Ovis aries: one gene and its partners. The protein of the gene in region 5 purifies or fractionates together with the protein of the main gene of each other region. This does not show direct contact. Links are inferred from orthologs where the notes say so. Each region holds a gene or a part of one and is shown on either strand. Other genes may lie near its edges.

What was found. Proteins that work in one complex are often made in the same cells at the same time.
Region 1: the proteins of EIF3H (region 5) and EIF3D purify together in Homo sapiens (affinity purification with mass spectrometry; 10 studies listed by BioGRID and IntAct, counting the BioPlex papers as one, with this or other methods). This does not show direct contact. The link is inferred for Ovis aries from reciprocal best matches to the Homo sapiens genes EIF3H and EIF3D.
Region 2: the proteins of EIF3H (region 5) and EIF3G purify together in Homo sapiens (affinity purification with mass spectrometry; 8 studies listed by BioGRID and IntAct, counting the BioPlex papers as one, with this or other methods). This does not show direct contact. The link is inferred for Ovis aries from reciprocal best matches to the Homo sapiens genes EIF3H and EIF3G.
Region 3: the proteins of EIF3H (region 5) and EIF3I purify together in Homo sapiens (affinity purification with mass spectrometry; 7 studies listed by BioGRID and IntAct, counting the BioPlex papers as one, with this or other methods). This does not show direct contact. The link is inferred for Ovis aries from reciprocal best matches to the Homo sapiens genes EIF3H and EIF3I.
Region 4: the proteins of EIF3H (region 5) and EIF4B purify together in Homo sapiens (affinity purification with mass spectrometry; 3 studies listed by BioGRID and IntAct, with this or other methods). This does not show direct contact. The link is inferred for Ovis aries from reciprocal best matches to the Homo sapiens genes EIF3H and EIF4B.

The regions. Positions count from the first base shown.
Region 1 is NC_056056.1:180,582,291-180,586,575, forward strand, and holds the start of EIF3D (eukaryotic translation initiation factor 3 subunit D), read right to left. Parts: upstream 2,843-4,285; 5' UTR 2,717-2,842; intron 206-2,716; 5' UTR 196-205; coding exon 73-195; intron 1-72. UniProt on the Homo sapiens protein: mRNA cap-binding component of the eukaryotic translation initiation factor 3 (eIF-3) complex, a complex required for several steps in the initiation of protein synthesis of a specialized repertoire of mRNAs.
Region 2 is NC_056058.1:12,527,602-12,532,038, reverse strand, and holds the start of EIF3G (eukaryotic translation initiation factor 3 subunit G), read left to right. Parts: upstream 1-1,595; 5' UTR 1,596-1,645; coding exon 1,646-1,665; intron 1,666-1,813; coding exon 1,814-1,860; intron 1,861-2,455; coding exon 2,456-2,539; intron 2,540-2,647; coding exon 2,648-2,736; intron 2,737-2,880; coding exon 2,881-2,940; intron 2,941-4,108; coding exon 4,109-4,213; intron 4,214-4,317; coding exon 4,318-4,437. UniProt on the Homo sapiens protein: RNA-binding component of the eukaryotic translation initiation factor 3 (eIF-3) complex, which is required for several steps in the initiation of protein synthesis.
Region 3 is NC_056055.1:235,308,562-235,313,055, forward strand, and holds the start of EIF3I (eukaryotic translation initiation factor 3 subunit I), read right to left. Parts: upstream 2,843-4,494; 5' UTR 2,806-2,842; coding exon 2,803-2,805; intron 2,710-2,802; coding exon 2,617-2,709; intron 1,383-2,616; coding exon 1,295-1,382; intron 993-1,294; coding exon 927-992; intron 1-926. Other genes in the region: TMEM234 (transmembrane protein 234), read left to right, coding at 2,926-2,941, 3,223-3,374, 4,184-4,250. UniProt on the Homo sapiens protein: Component of the eukaryotic translation initiation factor 3 (eIF-3) complex, which is required for several steps in the initiation of protein synthesis.
Region 4 is NC_056056.1:133,421,461-133,425,972, forward strand, and holds the start of EIF4B (eukaryotic translation initiation factor 4B), read right to left. Parts: upstream 2,843-4,512; 5' UTR 2,641-2,842; coding exon 2,628-2,640; intron 1-2,627. UniProt on the Homo sapiens protein: Required for the binding of mRNA to ribosomes. Functions in close association with EIF4-F and EIF4-A. Binds near the 5'-terminal cap of mRNA in presence of EIF-4F and ATP.
Region 5 is NC_056062.1:60,662,127-60,666,561, reverse strand, and holds the start of EIF3H (eukaryotic translation initiation factor 3 subunit H), read right to left. Parts: upstream 3,030-4,435; 5' UTR 3,006-3,029; coding exon 2,874-3,005; intron 1-2,873.

The DNA.
Region 1 (4,285 bases), on a different chromosome or scaffold from region 5:
AATAAAATTGAAATGAACTTGGAGCATCAGCTGCAGCTTTAAAAGATTCAGACCCCGCTGACAGGCAGGCACCTTTCCGAGCCGATCTCCTTTGCTGAACGGCTGGTAGGGCATATCCCGAAACTGCTCCGGAACTGCACAGGGACCCCAGCCTGAGGGGTTGTCCTGGATCACGGGTGTCATGAACTTTGCCATCTTTTAAAACCTTAAAAATACAAATAACAAAGTAACTCCATGAAGAAAAGCCTCTAAAAAACAAACAAACAAAAAAACCCGAAGTCTTCCATTTGAGGTAAGCTAATACAGGATAAAGTTAAAAAAGCAAAACACAGAACAGAACCCTCAACTGCTGAGCTACTCTCCACTTACCATCTTCTTGTGAATAAGACTGTGAATACTTAAAACTCAGACGACTGCTCACCAAATTTATGTATCATATCTCACCATTTGTTTTTTCCCACTGTACTATCTCTGACATGAACCTGCACCTTCTAACTGATGAGGTGTCATACCGTATCTGGCAACTTTTCTTTCTTAGTGTTACATGAAGATATTGTGCTTCTTGAATTCAGTGATGTCTTACAGACTTGATGAAATGTAATTAACTTTTTTTTGAGTTTAATAACCAGGTTCCAGTTTTCATTCACACCTTTACCAGACATACAATATTTAATTCCCCTAAACCTCAGTCTCTTTACCTGAAAAATAATAAGATCCTTGTTTTATTCCCATCAGAGGATCACTGTGAAAGCTGTATATATTAGTTAACATAAGCAGAAATAGTTCCATTGTAAAACGCCAGACACTTACTATTCTGTCTTACAAAAATACATTTACACACAGTGCCGAGAAAAAACAAGGGTCCATGAATGTATCCTGAAATGCAACCTTCCTTTGTTGTTCTTTCAATTTTCTGTTGTCAGTGTAAATTCTTATGCAGGGCATAGAAGTCAGGCAGAAAGCCCAGCAGAAGGTTGAGGAAGCCAGAAGCCTTATGTCATGAAAGTGGCCGAACACAGCCAATGTTCATAAACATTATGAGTACCAGGCATGTTGTTAGCGCTTTCCACACATTAATTCATTAACTCCTCAACAATCTCCTCCCGAGGTAGGGCCAGTATTAGCCCCACTTTCCAGAGAAGAAAACTGAGGCACAGAGATATCAAGAAATCGCCCAAAGTTGCAACACTAATGGATGAAAATCTGAACCCTGGGAAACTGGCTTCAGAGTCCACACTTTGTGTAAGGCCAGTACTCCGCTCAGGAAGAGTAAAAACCAGGGGCTCGACAGATATCTGCCAAACAATTCCTCCCCAAAACTCATGCATGCATTTATCATCCATTCTAATCCCCTGAAAATGCCCAGAAGCTGAGTTCCCAGGGGAAAATTCACCACACAAATATTTCCAGAGTCTGGGGAGCAATCAAAGAGCTGCTGCTGCTAAGTCACTTCAGTCATGTCTGACTCTGTGCGACCTCATAGATGGCAGCCCACCAGGCTCCCCTGTCCCTGAGATTCTCCAGGCAAGAACACTGGAGTGGGTTGCCATTTCTTTCTCCAGTGCATGAAAGTGAAAAGTGAAAGTGAAGTCGCTCAGTTGTATCAATCAAAGAGCAAAGAATACTAAATTTATGAAACTCTCTTCATTTTCCCATGATGGGGAGAGTTCCTAGAGGTGACACTTGCGTGATCCAAAAGGGCATGAACCTGGAAGCCCCATCCTCCTACCTAAACTTAAATTACACTACAGGAAGCGGACTGAGGGAGAGTGTGGTGGTCTCAAAACAATATACCCTTATATATTACCAGGGTCCTACAACATGTCAGATGCAACACCACTAAACCCCTAGGCCCCAATTTCAGATTAAAAAAAAAATACACAGTTCAGCCAAATCAAGCAGCTGATCTCATCATTTCAAGATAGACTTGGTTTCTAGGGTCCTCTGTCTTAAGTGTAACACTCTTCCCATTATTTTACAGCTGGACAGCAGCCTGAAAAGATCCTGGGTTTCAGATCATATCAATAACACAGTGAGATATCTCCAAACACACTTTAAAAGGGGCGGAAGGAAGTCGCTTGGTTTCAACGCGTAAACTAAAAAGTAGGCAGAGTACAATGTAACCAACAGGGGAAACTAAATCTTTCAGTTGAAACGGAGTGACAGCTGTACTGGCTACAGATAAAGGATGGGGCGGCATCAACAGGACAGTCATAGGGAGAACCTTGTGGCTGGCAGGTTACTGCAGATCGTTTGCCAATTCCTGGGCGGTTAATGTCAAATCAGAGATCAACCAACTACATCCTAGCCTTCCATTTCATAGGCAAGGAAAAGAAACATTTAGACGGTGAACTCCTCAGAGCAGGGCCGAACATCGCTCAGTTTGGCACACCCAATAGCCCTCTCGTAGAAGCTCAGGGAACCGTGGGGCACTTTAAAAGACCCTGAGACTCAGCGGGGTTAATGACATGTTCACATCAGAACACACTGTCGGTGGCCGCTAAGCGGACTCCACGGAAAGAGACCTCAACCACAGGCTCTGCCCCGCACTGGGTCGGACCTGGGGGGACCGAAGGCGGATTCCTGCCCCTCCCAGCGGAGGTACAGGGAAGCAGGAGGGGGCGTACGGAAGTCTCTTCCGGCAGGCCCCCGAAGGCCAGGCGCAGCTCAACTCTGCTCTGGAGATCCGCGGAAGCGTACGGAATACGCTGCTTACCTGTAACGGCCGTAACCGGCCCCGATGGTGAGAGATAGTCTAGGCCGAATACCGCGCCACCGCCTGAGCTACGGGGAACCGGGAAAGGAGGAAACATGCGCGCGCAGCGGCCGGCACCGTAAATACGACCGACGGTGTCGTAAACTGCTTCTTGGCTTCCTTCCGGTTCGACGGCGGAACACGCGAGTCGTAAAGCGAAGGCACATCCGGAAGTTCGTCCCTGTTCTCTTCGCGGTGTTCTTATTTAGCCTTCGAGGATGTTTACAGTTACGTCATGGGGCATCCGGCGACACTCCGAGAGTTTCAAGTTTCTTGAAACGTGGCGGCCTTGTAGTTGGAGTTGGAAGCGGCGACTGGCTGAAAGCCCCTCTATGTCCCACAATGCCTTGCGGGCCGCTCTGGCCCTCTGTATCCCACAACGACCCGCGGCTTCTGCCTTCTTTAAAAGATCGTGTTGTTTGAGTTTCACCGTTAGGGGGAGTTCGAGTCTTTCAGGCAGGTTTTTGCGGCTACTCGCTGAGCTTTGAGCGCTTTCGGAAACAGACCAGGAGGTGCAAAGTGACCTGAGTAGATCAGACTACTAGTGTCGGAGGTCGCTGCCAGTGTTCAAACCATACCTCCACAGTTCTCAGACTTTCTTGTTTGACAAAGATTCCTGGAGAGCTAATTTGAAAAATGAAGATTCCGGGTCCCCTTCCATAGACTGTTATACAAGCGTGGCTTAGCTGGAGCCCAGAAACCTGCATTTTAATTGGTGGTGATTCTGAAGTGGCGACTCAGGAACCACCTGGCTACGATGGCAACGGTGCTGTCTTTTTGGAAACTCAGCCTACGGAGTTTGTCCTGCAGCACGCCAGGCCTCCCTGTCCATCACCAACTCCCGGAGTTCACTCAAACTCACGTCCTTCAAGTAGGTGATGCCATCCAGCCATCTCATCCTCTGTCGTCCCCTTCTCCTCCTGCCCCCAATCCCTCCCCAGCATCAGAGTCTTTTCCAATGAGTCAACTTCGCATGAAGTGGCCAAAGTACTGGAGTTTCAGCTTTAGCATCATTCCTTCCAAAGAACACCCAGGACTGATCTCTTTCAGAATGGACTGGTTGGATCTCCTTACAGTCCAAGGGGCTCTCAAGAATCTTCTCCAACACCACAGTTCAAAAGCATCAGTTCTTCGATGCTCAGCTTTCTTCACAGTCCAACTCTCACATCCATACATGACCACTGGAAAACCATAGCCTTGACTAGGCGGACCTTTGTTGGCAAAGTAATGTCTCTGCTTTTGAATATGCTATCTAGGTTGGTCATAACTTCCTTTCCAAGGAGTAAGCGTCTTTTAATTTCATGGCTGCAGTCACCATCTGCAGTGATTTAGGAGCCCCCCAAAATAAAGTCTGACACTGTTTCCACTGTTTGCCCATCTGTTTGCTATGAAGTGATGAGACCAGATGCCATGATCTTTGTTTTCTGAATGTTGAGCTTTAAGCCAAGTTTTTCACTCTCCTCTTTCACTTTCATCAAGAGGCTTTTGAGTTCCTCTTCACTTTCTGCCATAAGAGTGGTGTCATCTGCA
Region 2 (4,437 bases), on a different chromosome or scaffold from region 5:
TGTCCTGCACTATCTCTCAGAGTTTGCTCAGATTCATGTCTACTGAGTCAGTGATGCTATCTAACCATCTCATCCTCTGGTGCCCTCTGGACCACCAGGAATTCCCAACCACCCTCTTTATTTACTTATTTTCCCAGCCTCCTTCCTGGTCTGCTGATTTATTCCTTTCCACCCTATCCTCTACAGGCTTCCAGAATAATCTTTCTCACAAGAAAATCTGGTCACATTGGGTCACCATTCAGAACATGTCAGCGCCTCACTCACACCCCACAGCCTGCAGGATAAAGAGCCTGTGCTGGGAATTCCCTGGTGGTCCAGTGGCTAAAACTCTGTGCTCAAGATACAGGGTGGCTGGGTTTGATCCTTGGTCAGGGAACTAGTTCCCACGTGCCACAACTAAGACTCTATGCAGCCAAATAAATAAAAATAAATATTTTTAAAAATGTTATATATGTTATATATATATACATGTATATATATGTAATATATATATAAGAGACTATGATCTTTAGTCTAGTTTTTAAAGTCCTTTATAATCTGGTTCCTGTCGGTTCCAAATACCCATGAATTGAGCACTTATCAAGTGTAGACACCCTGAGGGTGCTGGGGACCCAGAAGTGAACAAAGCAGGCAAATGTGTTTCTGCAGAAGTCTGCAGCAGTTTTTACCATTTTTTTCATTATCATCCCTCTAAAGGAGAAAAATGGAATTATCTTCCATTTAAATCAGTGTTAATCTAATTACATTTAATTTCTCCCTAACAATAGAAATTAAATGTTTAGAAATAAGATTTTGTCTGGGAGGGTTGGCTTTGGAGGCCACAAGTCATTGTCATCTCCAAGTTGGTTTTTTTTTTGTTTGTTTCTTTTTTGCCACAGAACAATTAATTTTGGTCCCCTTGGGAGTCATATCACTCCCACTGAGAATGCATACAGTAGAGGGAACGCTGGACAATAAGCAATAAATTAAAGAAAATGGAAAAGATTATATCAGGGAGCCAAGAATGTTACTAGGAATTCCCCGGTGGTCCAGTGGTTAAGACTCTGCACTTCCACTGCAGCGCCCAGTTCTGATACCTGGTTAGGGAATTAAGATTCTGCAAGCCTCACAGTGCGGGGGGGGGAGTTACTCAAGGAGGGAGAATAGTTAGGGGGTGACTTGATATCTTGATCATTTGAATCAGAAAAGTTATTTCCAGGCAAGGAAGACCAGTTTTGGTTTCTTCAGCTGAAAAATGGAAACGATAATTTCCTCCTCACAGTTCCTGCAAACAGTCAGAGCTATATAATTGAGCTTTATTGTCATTATTTTTAATTTTTAAAAAAAGTAAAAGAAAAGGTCCGGTGGTTAAGATTCAGTGATCCCAATGCAGGCCCTCCTGGTCCAGGAACTAGATCCTACATGCCGCAACTAAGACCCAGCGCAGCCAAATAAATAAATAAATAAATAAGATTTTCAGGTAAATGAGCCGAGCCTCTAATAGTAAGATACCAGGGCCCAGCCTCTCACATAGGCGGCGCTTCTACCTCCGTCCGTAGGGGGCGCTGTGGAGTGCTACGGCTGCTCTAGGCAGCGGAGCCGGAAGTCTCTTTCACCTCTTACTTCCGGTCTTTGGCCCAGGCTTGGGCTGCGTGGAGATTTTGCGATGCCGACCGGAGACTTTGAGTGAGTCAGGGGTCGTGGAGGGGGTTTGGTAAGCAGACCGGGGATGGGGGGCGGTCCTAGGAGTTAATATAGAGCCTGGGTGCGTTGAGGCCGCGGGAGCTGGGCCTCGCCTCACTCATCCCTCCTTTTGACAAACTTGTCCCCGCAGTTCGAAGCCCAGTTGGGCGGACCAGGTGGAAGAGGAAGGAGAGGACGGTGAGTCTACCTTGTCGCCTCGGATCACCGCAGCCCGGCCTCCCCCCGCCGCCCCAGGCCGTCACTGCTGCCTGCTCTGATCCTCCACCCTGGCACCGCCGTCAGACCCTGCATCTCCCCTCACAGCCAGCCCCTGCCCCGCGCCACTCTCATCTGGGCCAGCCTATCTCCAACTCCATACGTTCACCAGCCAGCCCATCTTCTGCCGTGCCACCGCCCAAGTCCTTGATGCCAGCACTTCTGCTTCCCTGCTCCTGGCAGGAAATTGTTTAACAGCCACACTCCTGCCTTTGTATTAATACTATTGCCCGGATGCCTGTGGCCCTCCCCTTCCCTCAGGCCCTCAGGCCCTCAGGCCCTCAGGCCAAGGATCCCCTTCCCCTTCTCATTGCTGGAAGTTACTACCGGCCAGCTCCGTGTCCCTGAATGGCTATCCCAAGACACTTCCTGGCCAGTCCTCTGCCCTTGGTCCCACCTTTCTCAGCTCCTGGTGCAGGCATCATCCCAAAGGTCCCTTGATTTCAGCTTGGGAGTTCCTGTCGCTGCCCACCCCTACCCCCCAGCTGACCCCTGCTCCCTCCACTCCCTGTCACAGACAAATGTGTCACCAGCGAGCTCCTCAAGGGGATCCCCCTGGCCACTGGGGATACCAGTCCAGAGCCTGAGCTATTGCCGGGAGGTGAGTGCCCGACTTCACTCCAGCCCTGGGCCGTCTCTCTCCCCAGCCTCCTTCCTTCTGGTCCCTATTACCCAGGGCTCAGTTCCTTTGTCTCTTCCTCTCTCCCAGCTCCACTGCCACCTCCCAAGGAGGTCATCAATGGAAACATCAAAACAGTGACGGAGTATAAGATAGATGAGGATGGCAAGAAGTTCAAGGTGAGGCTGGGGAAGAGGTGGGAGCCCTTTGCTTGAGGGGCACTTGGACTAGGGAGAGAGTGGTGTGTTGGATGTCTTGATGAGGAAGATCTGCTAGGAACCTTGAGGAGCAGAAGGCCCAAACGTTTCCCCTCCTATCCACAGATCGTCCGCACCTTCAGAATTGAGACCCGGAAGGCCTCAAAGGCTGTGGCAAGGAGGAAGGTAAGACCCTTCTCCCCCTTCCTTGGGGGCTCCTCCAGGGCTGACTCAAAGAAAAAATAGGAGTTCTTTTCCCTATTGCCTTCATTTTTAGAAGTGGGGTTTAACTGTTTGTTAAACAATTTCCTGGTGGCTTCCCTGGTGGCTCAGTGGTAAAGAATCTTCCTGCAATGCAGGAGATGCTGGTTCATCCCTGGGTCAGGACGGTACCCTGGAGAAGGGGATGATTACCCACTCCAGTGTTCTTGCCTGGAGAATTCCATGGACAGAGGAGCCTGGTGGGCTATAGTCCATAGGGTCGCAAAAAGTTAGACATGATTGAGAGACTGATGCTTTTTTGTTTCTTTCTAATTGTTTGGTTGCACCACACAGCATGTGGGATCTTAGTTCCCCGAGCAAGGCTTGAAACCACACCTTGTGCATTGAGAGTGCGGAGTCTTAACCACTGGGCCACCGGGGAAGTCCCCTGGGTGTACCTCTTCTGTTGGAGCAGAACTGAGGCCTGTGTGCAGTCCGTGGGGGCCCTGAAAAGTCCAGCAGGTGCAGGAGTGGGAGCGGAGGGGTTGGTTCTTACTTCTCTCGGCTTGTCGCCTGGGAGGAACAGAGCCAAAGCCCTCCTGTGAGGTGGTCGTAGCAGCAGAAGTGATGGCAGTAAATACGTTTTGCACAGTTACCTACATACTCGGTGTTAGACTCAGGTGCTTCGTGGGAAGTATTTTCTCATTCATTCCCCTAGCATTCCAGGGAGGTGTGGGGAGCATTGTGGTCCCTTATAGGGGAGGATGCCAAGGTACAGGTTGTTTAAGGAGCTCAAGGCCCCTGGAAATCTGGGTGATCCTGCACACCCCTGAGTATCACTCGGTGGAAGCTGGTCAGCCCCTGCCAGGGGTTGTTGGCTCTGGACCTGTTTACCCCTGAGCCTCAGTTTTCTCATCTGTAACATGAGGCTGAGAGCTGCCCCTACTCTTGGAGCTGGCATGGAGCTGGGGCCTGGCATGCCCTCAGGGAATAGCAACTGTCATCATCGCTTCTCCAAGGAGCATTTGAGGGCGGTGAATAGGGTTCAAGACTCACTCACCCTCAAGGTGGCTCTTGTTAAGTCTAGGGTGCAAATGGAGGGGGTCCCACTTGTCCTTGCCCTGACCTGTCCCCCATCCTGCCTTGAGCTCAGAACTGGAAGAAGTTTGGGAACTCAGAATTTGACCCACCGGGGCCCAACGTAGCCACCACCACAGTCAGCGATGATGTATCCATGACATTCATCACCAGCAAAGAGGTAAGTGTGGTGGCTGGCAGGGGGAGCCAGTGGCCAGGGTGTTACTGGAGGCAGCAGGGGAGCAGCTGAACTACCGTCTGAACTGCCACCACCTGCCCTGCCAGGATCTGAACTGCCAGGAAGAGGAGGACCCAATGAACAAGCTCAAGGGCCAGAAGATAGTGTCCTGCCGAATCTGCAAGGGTGACCACTGGACCACCCGCTGCCCCTACAAGGACACGTTG
Region 3 (4,494 bases), on a different chromosome or scaffold from region 5:
TTGGGTCAGGTCTTTTAACTTCTCCACACAGTCCCTCCTCAGACATCCCGCCACTGTGGCACTCACAACGGACGACATTGTATCTGTCTCCACCTCTGGAGAATGTGCTTCTCCATAGCAAAGACCTGCTCTAACTTCTCTGCATGTCACCAGTGCCCAGCAAAGACCTGGGAGAGATCTGGGTACCCAGAAAATATTTCCTAAATGGAGCCGTTCAATAGGCTCCCCTGTCTTCTGTCTGTTCCTGCAATGTTCCCCACTGCTACCTGGGCTTGCCAAAGCTAAACATGCTTGGGGACTTCCCCAGCAGTGGTTAAGACTCTGCCTTCCAATGCAGGGGGTGTGGGTTCAATCCCTGGTCAGGGAACTAAGATCCCAGTTGCCACAGGGTGTGGCCAAAAATTAAAAAAAAAAAAAAGAATTGAACAGGCTCTTCCCTGCTCAGGACCCTCCCCAGCATGAAGTCCTACAGAACAGTCATGTTCCTGAGCTCACATTCAAGGCCCGTCTGGCCCTAGCCTGCCTCAGCTTCTCCACTGCTGTCTGTTTCACCCCCGAGAAGCAGGAGCTCCTGCCAGATCAGATGACTTGGACGTGCCACTTGCTGTGCTTCCACTCTTGCATCTGCCACAGCTATCGCCTCACATGACACTTGCTTTGGGAAGCCTTCCCGGGCTGATCCCATCCCCATTTCAGGCTTCAGGTGCCTCCCCCTCAGCTTTCATAGTGCACTGTGCTACCTCTAACAAGGCTTATATCTCACTGGAGTGCCTCTTTTCATCTCTGTCTCCTGATTTTCTTGTCTCTTTTTCCCTAGACTGGGAACCATCTCTGGTTTTATCTCTATTTCCCCAGAACCTGTTGACCTCAATAAGTATATTGTAGGTCCTCACTGTTTGCTGAAAAAGTGCAGGATCCAGGCTTACCTGTTTCACAGTCCCAGAGACGACAGCTGTTGTCAGCTGAGCCAGTGAGGACATGCTTGGTGTCCCCTGAAGAGGGTGTTAAGAAGCATAACAGAATTCACCTGAGTCCTTGTCCTCTTGGAAGGCCAAGTGAATCATCTCCCTATTCAGCACCAGAGAGCCTTCCTTCTCTCATCCTAACCTCCTCATTCAGAACTGGAACCTGTCCTAAATGTTCCCCGAAATAGTGAACAGACCAAGGAGTAGGAGGTAGGTAGCATCATTCTCCAGACCCCACCAGAGCATCTCAAACTCTCAGCTTCAGGTCAGCAGCTTCTCCATTGCTGGCAGACCCTGGTAGCACAGACTCAGAACAAAGATAAGGATACAGTCAGCGTCCACACACCACACAGCTCCGGTATGGCCCATGTAGGTGCCCAGTCTCTCACCATTCACAGAGTACCATACATTGACAATCTGGAGGATCAAGGACAATGTGACAGGATGATAGGCATTGTGGGCAGAGCCATGGCCTATTTTGCCCCAGAAGCTTCTAGCCAGGCCAGATTCGACCCTCCCCAGCTCATCTCTTGGGGAACAGCAGGTTGCTGGTAAAAAGACCAACTCCTGGATTCTCCTCCTGCTTGCGAAAAAGTCTCCATCATACCAGCCTTTCCCCAGACTCCTAAACCCTTTGAGGAATAAAAGGTCAAGCTGAGTATCAGCCTAGCAAAAGAGTAGTGTTTTGGTGTTCTGTCCAAACAGGAGCCGTTGGTAGGAGAGAAACCTAGGTTCCAGTCCCTGCTCTGCTACTATCTCACTGTATTATTGAAATGTGTGCTTTTCCCCTCTGAACTTCAGTTTTCCCACGTGTAAACTGGCCAGGACAATAACGCCTTTTTCAAAGAGTAGCTGTGAGACTCCAATAAAATAATGTCTAAGGAATTTAAAATGTGTCTAACATTAATATGGTACTCACAAACACTCTTTATTCAAGTAAGCTCTTTATTTGAATAATCTCATTTAATTCTAAAGACAACCCCAAGAGGGAGGTACTATTACTACCCATATTTTGTAAAAAGGGGCTCTTAAAGTTTATAATGGTTAAATGGCATGTTCAAAGTCACACTGCTAGTGAATACAGGACTCAGGATTCAAATCAGGTGTGTCAGCCCCCACGTTTAGCCACTAGGGTTAACTTTCTCCATATGGAGGTGCCTCAAAATGCAGTACTCAAAGGGGCTGTTTGCAGTGAGTGAGTGGCAGGAAGAGGGATGACTGAAATGATACCAAGGACACCTTCTTTAAGGTCTTTATCCTCGCCGCCCCAGGATCAACTTCCCCCTTCTCCAGGTGGTCTGTTCCCCTATCCTTGTAGAATAGTTTTGTTCTTCCCCGGAATGAGCTCCTCTCCGCCCCATGAGCAAGATGACCCACGTCCCCGTCCCCTTTCCACAAGGTACCCTTGCTTTTCTTCTCCCTGGCTACTCCCTCCTATCAACAATGGAGTCCTTTCCCACATCTATCGGTGTAATGCTCTTGCCCTCCAAACCCCGGGCTGATCTCTCCCTACTTCTCAGAACGGGGCACTCCTCGGTTTTTCTCGCAGCAAAACTAGCTTGTCCACCCTTCGCCCCGGGAGAATGAACGCGCCCGCTCCCGAGCCCCCTCCGCAAGGTCCCGGCGGGCCCGCCCTTCGGCCGACGCTCACAGGGTCCTTCGCCACCGTGAAAAGGAGGTCTCCCTCGCGGTTGTACTTAATCTGAGTAATGGACCGCTCATGGCCCTGCAGCAGGATCGGCTTCTGTGGGGACAGGACGGCAGTGTCAGCGCCCAGAATTGGCCCCTACCCCAGCACGGACCCCTACGGCAATACCTTTAACACAGGAGAACTCACCATTCCGGCGGTGACGCGAGGAAAGCGGCAACGTGAGTAGAACCGGAAGAGGCTTTGGCGCCACTTCCGGATTACGAGTCTCCGCCCCCTTTGTTCCCGGAAGTGGAGAGGATCGGCGTTGCCATGGCGGCGACCCTGGGTAAGCGGGCCCCGCCCCTCCCCTCGCTTCCAGACTGCTATCCCAAGTTCATTTCTTACTCCCTCCTCCACCACCTAACCCCGACCCTTGCTACAACCCCGAACTTGGGCTCCAGGATCCATCTCCCCGGCTTCCCGGGGCCTGTCCTACCCGCCAATCAGACCCGGGGCGTCGGAGAGCAAAGAAGGGATGTGGGAGCGGCGGGGTGGGAATGGGAGACCGGAGGAGGGCTAAGGCCGTGCGGTGGGGCGGCGGGGGATGTCACTCGTCTCTCCATCCAGGGCAGGTGCTGGCTCTGGTGCTAGTGGCCGCTCTGTGGGGTGGCACACAGCCATTGCTGAAGCGGGCCTCCTCTCGCCTGCAGCAGGTTCATGAGCGGACCTGGGCCCGGCAGTTGCTGCAGGAAATGAAAACCTTGTTCTTGAATCCCGAGGTGCGTCTGTGAATGAGTCCTCTCTAGAGGGTAGCAGCTAAGAATTTGGTCTCTGGAGTCAAACAGATCAGGCTCAAAATCTGTGCTCCACCACTTACTCGCCAGAAGCTCTTGGATGAGTCTTGTTTGCCTTGAGTCTCAGTTTCGTCATCTGTAAAATGGGGATAATAAGGGTAACCGTCTTACGGGGCAGTTGTGAGGGTTAAGTGAGGTGAGGCACTAAAGCAGTTAGCAGTGGGCCTTATACATATTATAATTAGGTTTCAAGTCTCTGATGCCCTGAGCAGCTAGTAATATTTTATTATGGTGATCCTTCCAACAGACTTTTCCAGAGGGAGGGCTTAGGGCTTAAATTGGCCCTGGGGAGGGGGGCATAAGGGAGAATCTAGAGTACTACTTCTGAGCTCAGTGCTGCCAGTCTCGGCTGGTGGGAAAGTCATAGACACAACTGCCTCTCAGGGGTAAGGGCTTTGAGTGAGGTACAGACAAAGTGCTTTGTGAGTTCAGAGGAGGGAGGCTGGAGCTAGGCGACTGAGGGAAGGTTTCTTGGAGAGAGGAACACTGGCGCTCAGGGACTTGCAGGATGGGGAGGACAGAAACCAGCCGGGCTGAGGGGGAGGGCATTCAGGGCAAAGGCATGGGGTTCAGTCAGTGATGTTCCCTCTGCCCTGGAAGGGTCCTTTTCAGATGGCTTGGGCCCTAGCCCTTACAGCTACCCCTCCCTCCAAGGAAAGGCTTATCTCAAAGCTCAAAGAAGGCAGCCCTGCTCAGATAAGCAATCACACTGACCAGTTTTCTTCTGTTTCCAGTACCTGATGCCCTTTTCTCTCAACCAGTGTGGCTCCCTTCTCTATTACCTCACCTTGGCATCAGCAGGTGGGTCTCTGGCTTAGAACCACTATACTTAGGATGGAGGGAATGTCTCAAACACCTTGTTGCCATGAGTGAGGGATTGGTTCCATATTTGCACCCTCTTCTCTAGGCAGTAGAGTGGTTTGGTTATGAGTATGCTGCCAGGCACAGGGTTGGTTTGAAGCCTGGCAATCTTGTGCAGCAGCAGAGAAAGAAAGTTCCTTTGGCTGTGTGAAGGGTTTGTGTGTGTGTGTGTGTACCATGCAGT
Region 4 (4,512 bases), on a different chromosome or scaffold from region 5:
TGTACTTAAATTTTCATAAGCCATTTTAACTTTCACCTTCTGAATCTGGGTATCTTACTCCCAGAGTAACAAACATATGGTACAGGAAGGGGTATGAAGATAGGTAATACATGAACTGCATATAATAGCAACCAGTGAAACCGTTTTTAACTATAGGAGTCAGCACTCTATGAAAACCACCATTGGACACTATCTTACCATAAAAAATAATCAAACAAGATGCCACATATAATGGCATTCTGAAGTGTTATGCAAATAAAAGGCCTTGTGTGCACACAGGTACACTGTTAACAATCCCAAGGCAGTCTAGTCTCACAAACCACTAACCCATGTCAAACACATTTGATCCCCTATAGGTAAGGACACAGATGCAATAGTTAGCTTTGGGACACCTCCAGTTCTTGAAGTTCAGTAATTAGTCACACTGGATACTGTATTATTGCAAAGAATTTTTTGGTTTCATTTAAAAGTAAAAGGGAGTGGATATATGTACAGTTATAGCTGTTTCACCTGTGTACAGCAGAAACCAACGCAACATTGTAAAGCAATTTTCCTCTAATTAAAAAAAAAAGTAAAAGGCCTGTTAAGTTTTATCATGTTTCTTCACAAAGAAAATATAAGATGTTTTTTCAGGGGCCATCAAGAAGTATATTGAAAATAGATTAATTTTATAGACCCATTAACACAGTGGGCCTGTATTAATATAATTATATACCAAATCAATACAATGGGAAAAGATCCAAAGTGGGGAAAGAAATTTGATAATTTCTCAAGGGCTGTCAGATGTACCATTGTACCCCAGCATAAGTGTCCCTTATATGTATTACACAAGCTAAAAGATTCATGTAACTGTATTAAAGGAGATGAGGGCTTCCAATTGGGTAGAGTGGAAGAAGAGACCTCACTAAGCACATCTGTTTTACTAGTCTGGACTTTATTTACACAATGCTATCGGCGTCTTTCACCTCTAAAAAAATTCCACACAAGTTATACAGAAAAGGAAAACAGGCTTTTCACTAATTATGACACTGAGACACCAGGACGGCAAATTCAGGCCAAAATACTTCAGATGAAGCTCCTGGGCAGCATCCCAAACTTATGATGATAAACCAACCTTGTTAGTCCCAAGTTGATAATGGGAGAAGAACGAGAAGTTTCAAAGATTGCAACCTTACTCTGCCATCTGCAGATAGTGACCTTGAACGAGTAATTTTCATATTCCTCACACAGGAGATAACCAACATCTGCCTATCTCACAGAACATCAAATTAGACCACACACAGAAAAGTGCCAGGTCAATTGTCAAGTGCTACGCTAGTGAAAGGTATTATGCTCAACTGCACGTTAATTTCCTCAATATTTTCCAAAGGCATACATCTCTATGTAAGAGAGAAGAGAAATTCTTGGTGAGAAATCAGTGTTCAGAGATAAGTCGTTCAACAAATGTTTTGTACAATGTAGGCTCACACCAGGGAAAAGAGATCATATCCCCCATTCTAAAATCACTGTTGACAAAATGTTGGCACAACTCTCTACTAAGTCCATCAGAAGTGCAGGCAGACTTACATGAAAGTGATATTTCCTCTCATTCTAAACAAGAATTCAACTCCAGCCACTAGTATTCTTCTAAAAGCAACTCCTAGCAGTTGTGCAGTTACCCTAAAAGAAAAAGGCCCTACCCTACTGCTGCGGCTATCAAAACTCAACCAAAACGGAAGCTGTCAAGGGCTCTGATCTTGGTCACCACTGGATCCCCAATATCCAGAAGCATGCCTGACAAATATACAGTTCACACTCAAGTAAAACTGTGTTGACTGAGTAAGAAAAAGTCCAGAAGAAATCTAGGTCTCCACCCTGTTTCCTCTCCTCCAACACGTGGGCGCATCACACCGGATTCCCTACCCCCGTCTTAACTCTAGCAGCGCCAACCTCCAAACCTAATACATTTACCCTTGGAAGAACATAGGGGCCGGATCACACTCTAGAAGGGGAAGAGCAAAAAGTGGAAGGACCTAAAGAGAAAGCAACACAGGCGAGTAAAACCTTCCCATCTGGACTCTCGCGCGTGCTTTTCAGGCGCGCCAGTCTCCAGTACCCTAGGCTCTCCGACCGCGCACGCGCACCGCCACCTTCCTCCGCCCCTCCAGCGACTCGCGCTCGGGTTCTAACTGCCCCCCCTTTATTCCCTGCCCCCACTCCCGTCCGCAACGGCCTCGCGCCTTGGAGACCTAGTTCAGAGTGCACCCGTCCGCGCGCCAACCGCCTCCTTCCTTCCTCCACGCTTTCACGCGGGCACACTGCTTCACGTCTATGAGAAGGCCTACATCTCCCGCTGATCTTTCTGCGCCTCCTCCTCACTCCAACTCAAGCCAGAGTCTACCATTACTCCCCAGTCCAACCTCGCGCAGATGGGGTGAAAAGGGTGTGAGGGGGGAGGGGAAGGTCCTTCCCCTCCCCCCAAACATCCCGAGGCAATAACCTAACATGGCCCAGCCGCCAGCCTGCCGCAGCCCCAAAATCCGAAGGGAAGAGGTGCCGCCCACCCCCCGACTCCGAAGAATCAGTGGATCAGGCTCGGAGAGTCGCTTCGGAGCCTGGTCCTTGGCCGCACTCGGCCGCTCACTCACCTGAGGCCGCCATGTTGGGAGAGGGAGAGAGAACGCAAAGGACCCGGATGAGGCAGTCACGTGATTAGAGCGAGCGCGTCGGGCTAGGAGACGCGAAACTGGGAGGGGTCGGGGAATTAAGGAGGGACACAGGAGGCGGGGCGGCGCTCCTCTAGGTTCGTAAAGCAGCGCGAGGAGGTGACGCGGCATCCGACGGGAAGACCTGCGCGACATGTGGCCAAAGGGGTGGGGCCTGCGCTGTCGCGAAACCCCTCACGCTTTACGTAGGGCGACGCGCGGACAAGGGGCAGGTCTCAGCCTGGGGCGGGGTCTCCTGAGCCGCAGACTTCCTGCCTGTGCGGTAAACGGAAGGGGTGGTGCGGCGTTGTCAAGTTCCACCTCTCTGGCACCGATTGGAGGCGGGCTGGAATCCAGAATTGGCGTGCCCCAATTGGTTTCCTGGGAAGATTCTGAGTTTCTTTGTAAATCGCTTTTTGTTAAAGCAAAATAAACCACCATTCTGCTTAAGGATGGTTTTAATTGGGGATGTTTAGAAGGAAAAGAAGGTAACATTCATCACTTACTTGCCATGGTCTTTTACTAAAAGTCTTTTAATCCTTCGTTTTGCAAACTAAATTCAAACTCAGGCCCTTAGGATTTCACCGTCTAATGCTATCTGCGCTTCCTCTTGTTGCCAGGTTGTCCTTGAGACCCGGTGGACTGTAGCCCGCCAGTCTCCTCTGTCCATGGAATTTCCCAGGCAAGAATATTGGAGTAGGTTGACATTTCCTTCTCCAAGGGATCTTCCCCATCCAGGGATGGAATCCACGTCTCCTGCATGGGAAGAACGATCTTTTACCAATAAGCCACCAGGGAAACCCCATAGGTAGTAGTTCATTCAATGAAAATTTGCTTTGCACTCCTACCACGTGTCAGGCGCTTTTATTGGCATTTTGGGTATAACTGGAGAATAAAACTCCAAAGCATGTTATATAATTCAGTGAGGGAAAGACAGACAATAAGCAGTAATTAAATGAAATATTAGAAATGTTAAGCACTCTAGAGGTAATTAAGGTAATTTGATAAAACTGATTTTGTGCAACTTAAATTGCATGGTCAGGGAAGGCCTCTGAGGAAGCGACATGTGAACTGAGATCTGAGTTACAGAGAGCCAACCCCCTGAGGAACTAGATCAAATGCTCCAGGACAGGAACATGTTGGCAAGTTTGAGTCTCAGTTTGGTGACCGGAAGGGGGGTGGGCGGTAAAAGATGAGGTTTGAGAAATATGTTGGGGTTCAATCATGTGAGGCTCTGTGAATCAGGTTTAGGAGTTTGGATTTTATTCCAAGTGGACTGGGAAAGCGTGGAAAGATTTTATGCAGGGGAGTGTGAGGACTTGAAATAGTTTTGTAAAGGGTTACTTACTATCTTGATATGGGTGATGGTTACATAAGTGTATATTTAAGTACCTCAGATTGTACACTCAAGAATTGTGCGCTTAGTGTATAGAGGTCATACTTTAAACAACAGTGATGACAACAACAGGATTACTCAGTTTACTGGATGGAGAGTGGGTTATACACCTGCACTGATGGAAAAGAAAGATCAGTTAAAAGGTTCTTGGTGCCAGGACCTCATAATGTCTTCATGGACCCTAAGCACTTTTGCCTTCATAGGCCCTTTTCTCCTTTTAAACAGTGTTAACATTATTTGCTGCACTGGGTCTTCCTTGCAGCCTGTAGGCTTTCTCTAGTTGCAGCACATGGTAGCTTCTCTTGTTGCAGAGCATGGGCTGAATTGCCCCATGGCATGTGGGATCTTAGTTCCCCAACCGGGGATTGAACCTGTGCCCCCTACATTGGAAGGAGGATTCTTAGCCGCCGGACCACCAGGGAAGTCCTAATA
Region 5 (4,435 bases):
TTAACTAACACTTCATGCTTTTTATTAATATAAACACACCAAAGTAAACAAATCGTTTGGGAATACTCTGTGTGGTACAGCTATAAAGAAAACCAAGAAATTACTGAAACAAAGCTCACAAGAGTGATTACAGGCACAAACAAGGGATGGGAGAAAAGGATGAAATGAAAAGGACTTCAAAGAGACTAAAAATTCCATTTCTCAAGTTAAAAGGCAGGTAAATGGATACTTATTCTGTGATTACTTAAATTATGTATTAAAGACATTATTTTACATGTATATCCTGTTGTTTTACAGTTCTTTGCTAATGTTATCAATCATCTTTTTAAAAACTAAATCAAGAAACTGGTGATGGCAGATTCTAGTAGCACTGAGTTGAAGAAAGAATGGAAGGCCACAAATACAGATGAATTGTTTAACCACTGACATCAAAGGAAAGAAGTGGGGACTAAGAACGAACACAAATGAAAGCCGTTCAGTCGTGTCCAACTCTTTGCAAACTGATGGACTATGGAATTCTCCAAGCCAGAATACTGGAGTGGGCATACTTTCCCTTCTCCAGGCAATCTCCCCAACCCAGGGATCGAACCCAGGTCTTCTACATTGCAGGCAGATTCTTTACCCGCTAAGCCACAAGGGAAGCCCAAAAATACTGGAGTGGGTAGCCTATCTGTTCTCCAGCGGATCTTCCCAACCCAGGAATTGAATCAGGGTCTCCTGAATTGCAGGTGGATTCTTTATCAACTGACCTATCAGGGACGCCCAAGAATAAACGACAAGTGCTAAGTAAAAAGAGACAGGGCTGGACATTTTAATATGGAAAAGTCTGACAATCACCATGTGTTAAGAGAAAGGTAAAATTAAAGATTGATGAAACAAAACTAAAGGTTCGAAAAGAGAGGCTCAAGAAGAAAAGGAAATCTGGCCCTGGCTATCACCAAGGTGCCAGAAACAAATGTGATTAAACATCAGACTAAGCAAATTAGTCCTGTGTGGCTGGAATGAGCCATTCCTACGAAGCATGGAAACAGTGGCAAGTTAACCTGAACACAAATGCCAAGGACATCTTGGTCAGCCTTGAATTCATTGCAAAGGCACTAAAAACATTTCAAGAGGGAAGTTAACCATGTCTGAACTTTCACATTAAAGTGCATGTTTTAATAAAAGTATGAAGGATGGACTGAAGCAGGCTAAGAGAACAATTCAAGATGCTATGAAAATAATCTACAGAAAAAGGTATCAGAACGTGAAACGGAAGAACTACAAAAAGAAACTAAAATACTTCATTCATCAATTTATCCTATCTCAATTAACTGATTCAGTTTTGGAACGTAACAGATGAAAAGTCATAATACCTGTCTGCCCTCAGTAGCTTGCATTCTACTGGGAGAGAAAAACAAGAAAACAAACCAGACAACTGCAAGTAGTGGAAAATGCTATGAAGGAAATAAAGGTGATGTAAGGGAGAGTAACGGGAATGAAGCTATGTTTTACACGGTAGTCAGGCAAGGCCTCTCTTGAGATGCTGACACTTAAGCCAATACCTTAAAGGCTCAAAAAAAGCCACGGAGTAGGAAGATATATTTGTATTTCAGGCTGAGAAAATAAAACACTGAAAGTTGTGACTGAGGCCTAGAAGAAAGTATGAGATGAGTCTGAAGAAAGAGACAATAGTAGCAGGGCCTTGAAGACTGAGTAAGAATTCTACATTTTATTTTAAGTGGATATGGTCGGTGGAATCTAGAAGAAAAGCAAAGGAAATCTGATGTATTTTGGACGTAGAACCAACAGAATTTGCTCAGGGACTGGACGCCAAAGGTAAAATAAGAACAAGCATACATTAATGCTCAGGTTTTGACTTTTCAAACAGGTAGATAGCAGTTCCATTTACTAAGATAGGAAAGAGTGAGGTAAGATCGATGCATGGGAGAGAAGCAGGGCAAGGGTCAAAAATTTTATTTTGGACACATTAAGTTTGAAGTTCCTATGAGATATCCTAACAGCGACAAGCAAGATGCATAAGAGTCGCATTCAAGAACCACGTCTGACAAGAAATAAACCTACGAGTTATCAGAATACAAATAATATTTAAAGTCTTGAAAAGACTGCCTTAAAGAAAGTCTACTACTATAACTTTTGCAAATGTAACAACAGCAGCTAAAAGTACATGTTAACACCTCTTACTATTTAACTTACCAAGCACGAAGAGATTAATAATATGCCCGACGTCATTCAGCTAATTTTAGCGCTGGATTTCAAGACAGGCCGTCTGACAGCAGAGTTGCGCTTTCATCTGCTTTGTCAAGCAGAGACCAGGTGGAAGGACGCCTAAACCCAAATCCCAAGGCACTCCAATATTCACAGAGAGGGAAAGAAGTCAACATAAGGTATTTATTCCAATAACGCGGTTTCACGTAACCGCTGAACCACAGGCTCAAAAGTGGCTACAAACTAATCTCCACTTGGAAAGTTACAGATGTCAGATCCCAAGAGGGAAACAAACTTTACTCTCCCCTTCCAAAAGCTCTATATCCTTCTCGACACCTCCGACACCTACTTGCCTCCCACAATAGTCATTCTCCAAAAACCCTGTCCCAAGTATCTCAAAACAAGCCCCCAAGAATCTGTCACACACACACACCCGAGCCCAGGTGCACTTTCTGAGTCCTCAATTCCCTGATGAGACGGCAGAGAAGGTAGCCGCGTCTTCCGAACATAAAGTGAAGATAAAGAAAGAAAGTTTTACGGGAAAACCTTGGCCCAGCTTCAGCAAGCCCAGAGGGGAGACTGCCGGAAAGCACGCCTGGCAAGACCGGGCTGGGAACTGAGGGCTGGGAACCCACGTGGGCTGGGAGAAAAGGAACCCCACTCACCAAGCCATCTATCTGCACTTGCTTCACGGCTGAATCTCCGGATCCTCCTTTGCCTTTGCCTTTGCCTGCAGCGCCGGTGGTAGAGCTGGAAGAGGCGGCGGAGGAGCCGGTGCCTTCCTTGCGGGACGCCATCTTTCCAGCCGGACAGGGAAAGAGAAACGTGAGTTGCCGGAAGCGGAAGTAAAGTTTCACTTGACGTCAGGCGCAGTCTGGCGTTCGAGGGGCGGAGCTGTTAGGAAAGGCCGGCAGGGGAAGCCCCGCCTCCCTTCTCTTTTCCAGCCTTTCTTCGGCAGTGAAACGCCTTGCGCATGTGCATTGTGCTTTGGGGGGAGGGGTGTGTGCTTCTTTCGTTTAGAAAGCTTTAAGAAATGCAAAAAGAAATTTTTGAAAGTGTTTTTCCCTTTATGTTTAATCGATATGCACTAGGTAGTGAATCATAATTGCTTTATAGCTAGCATTTATGTAGCGCGTCATTCGTATAAAGTGCTTTCACTTCTAATTTTTTTAATTAATCGGTAGTCCCAATGTGACAAACTATGAAGAGCTGTACTTACTTCTACAGCATATTTGGCAACTGAGACATGATTTGTCAAACATCATTCTGTTCATTAATGGCGAGCTTATATTGAAGGGTTTTTTTTAAATTTCTTTCCAATTTTTGTCCTTGGCAATATCTAAGATTTTCCAGTCATGTATGTTAATCACACTACATGTGAAACTGATTGGTGTCATTTCAGGGGGACTCTGAAGAGCTCCAGTGCTATAGTCCTTTATGTCTCAGTGCACAGAAGAATTCAGCAAGAGCAAAGTGGTAGATAAAAAGTGATTCATTAGAATAGAACGCTTGTGAGACTTACAAGCAGGTGGGCAAGAAATGCCATGCCCCAAGAACTAGTTGGCTACAGCTTTATAATCAAAGGAAAAGGGGGAAAGAGGAGAAGACCTCCTTTTTCTTGAGTAGACATCATGTTTTCATCATTAGCTCCTCCAGACTGAGCAGGGGAGTTTTCTTGTCCCTGTGTGGTCAAGCTAGGTCCACAAAAGTTTTTTACGCATGCAGAGAGCATTTCGGAGGGATCACTGGGCAGGATGTGGGTCTCTTGCCACCTTTGTTTTATTGTTTATGGTGTGTCCCTTGCTTCGGTTTTGTTGCTAAGCAACCCTGCTTGGTTTTGTGGTGAGGCAAACCTGCTTTCTCAAGTAATCATTAACTTACAGGGGTCTCCCATATTTTCTACTTATAGAAAATCCCTTGTGGGATTATCTAATTAGTCACCTATTTTATCCTGTCATTCTGTCCCTATCACTGGGTTCTTGTAATCTAACCCTAACTAGAAATGGCCTAGAAGTGATAGGGACAGAATGCGTGCATGTGTTCTAAATTGCTTTAGTCCTATTGAACTCTTTGCAACCCTGTGGGCTGTAGCCCCAGGCTCCTCTGTCCATGAGATTCTCCAGGTAGCAATACTGGAGTGGGTTGCCATGCCCTCCTCCAGGGGATCTTCCTAACCCAGGGATCCAACCCACATCTCTTATATCTCCTGCATTGGCAGGTGGGTTCT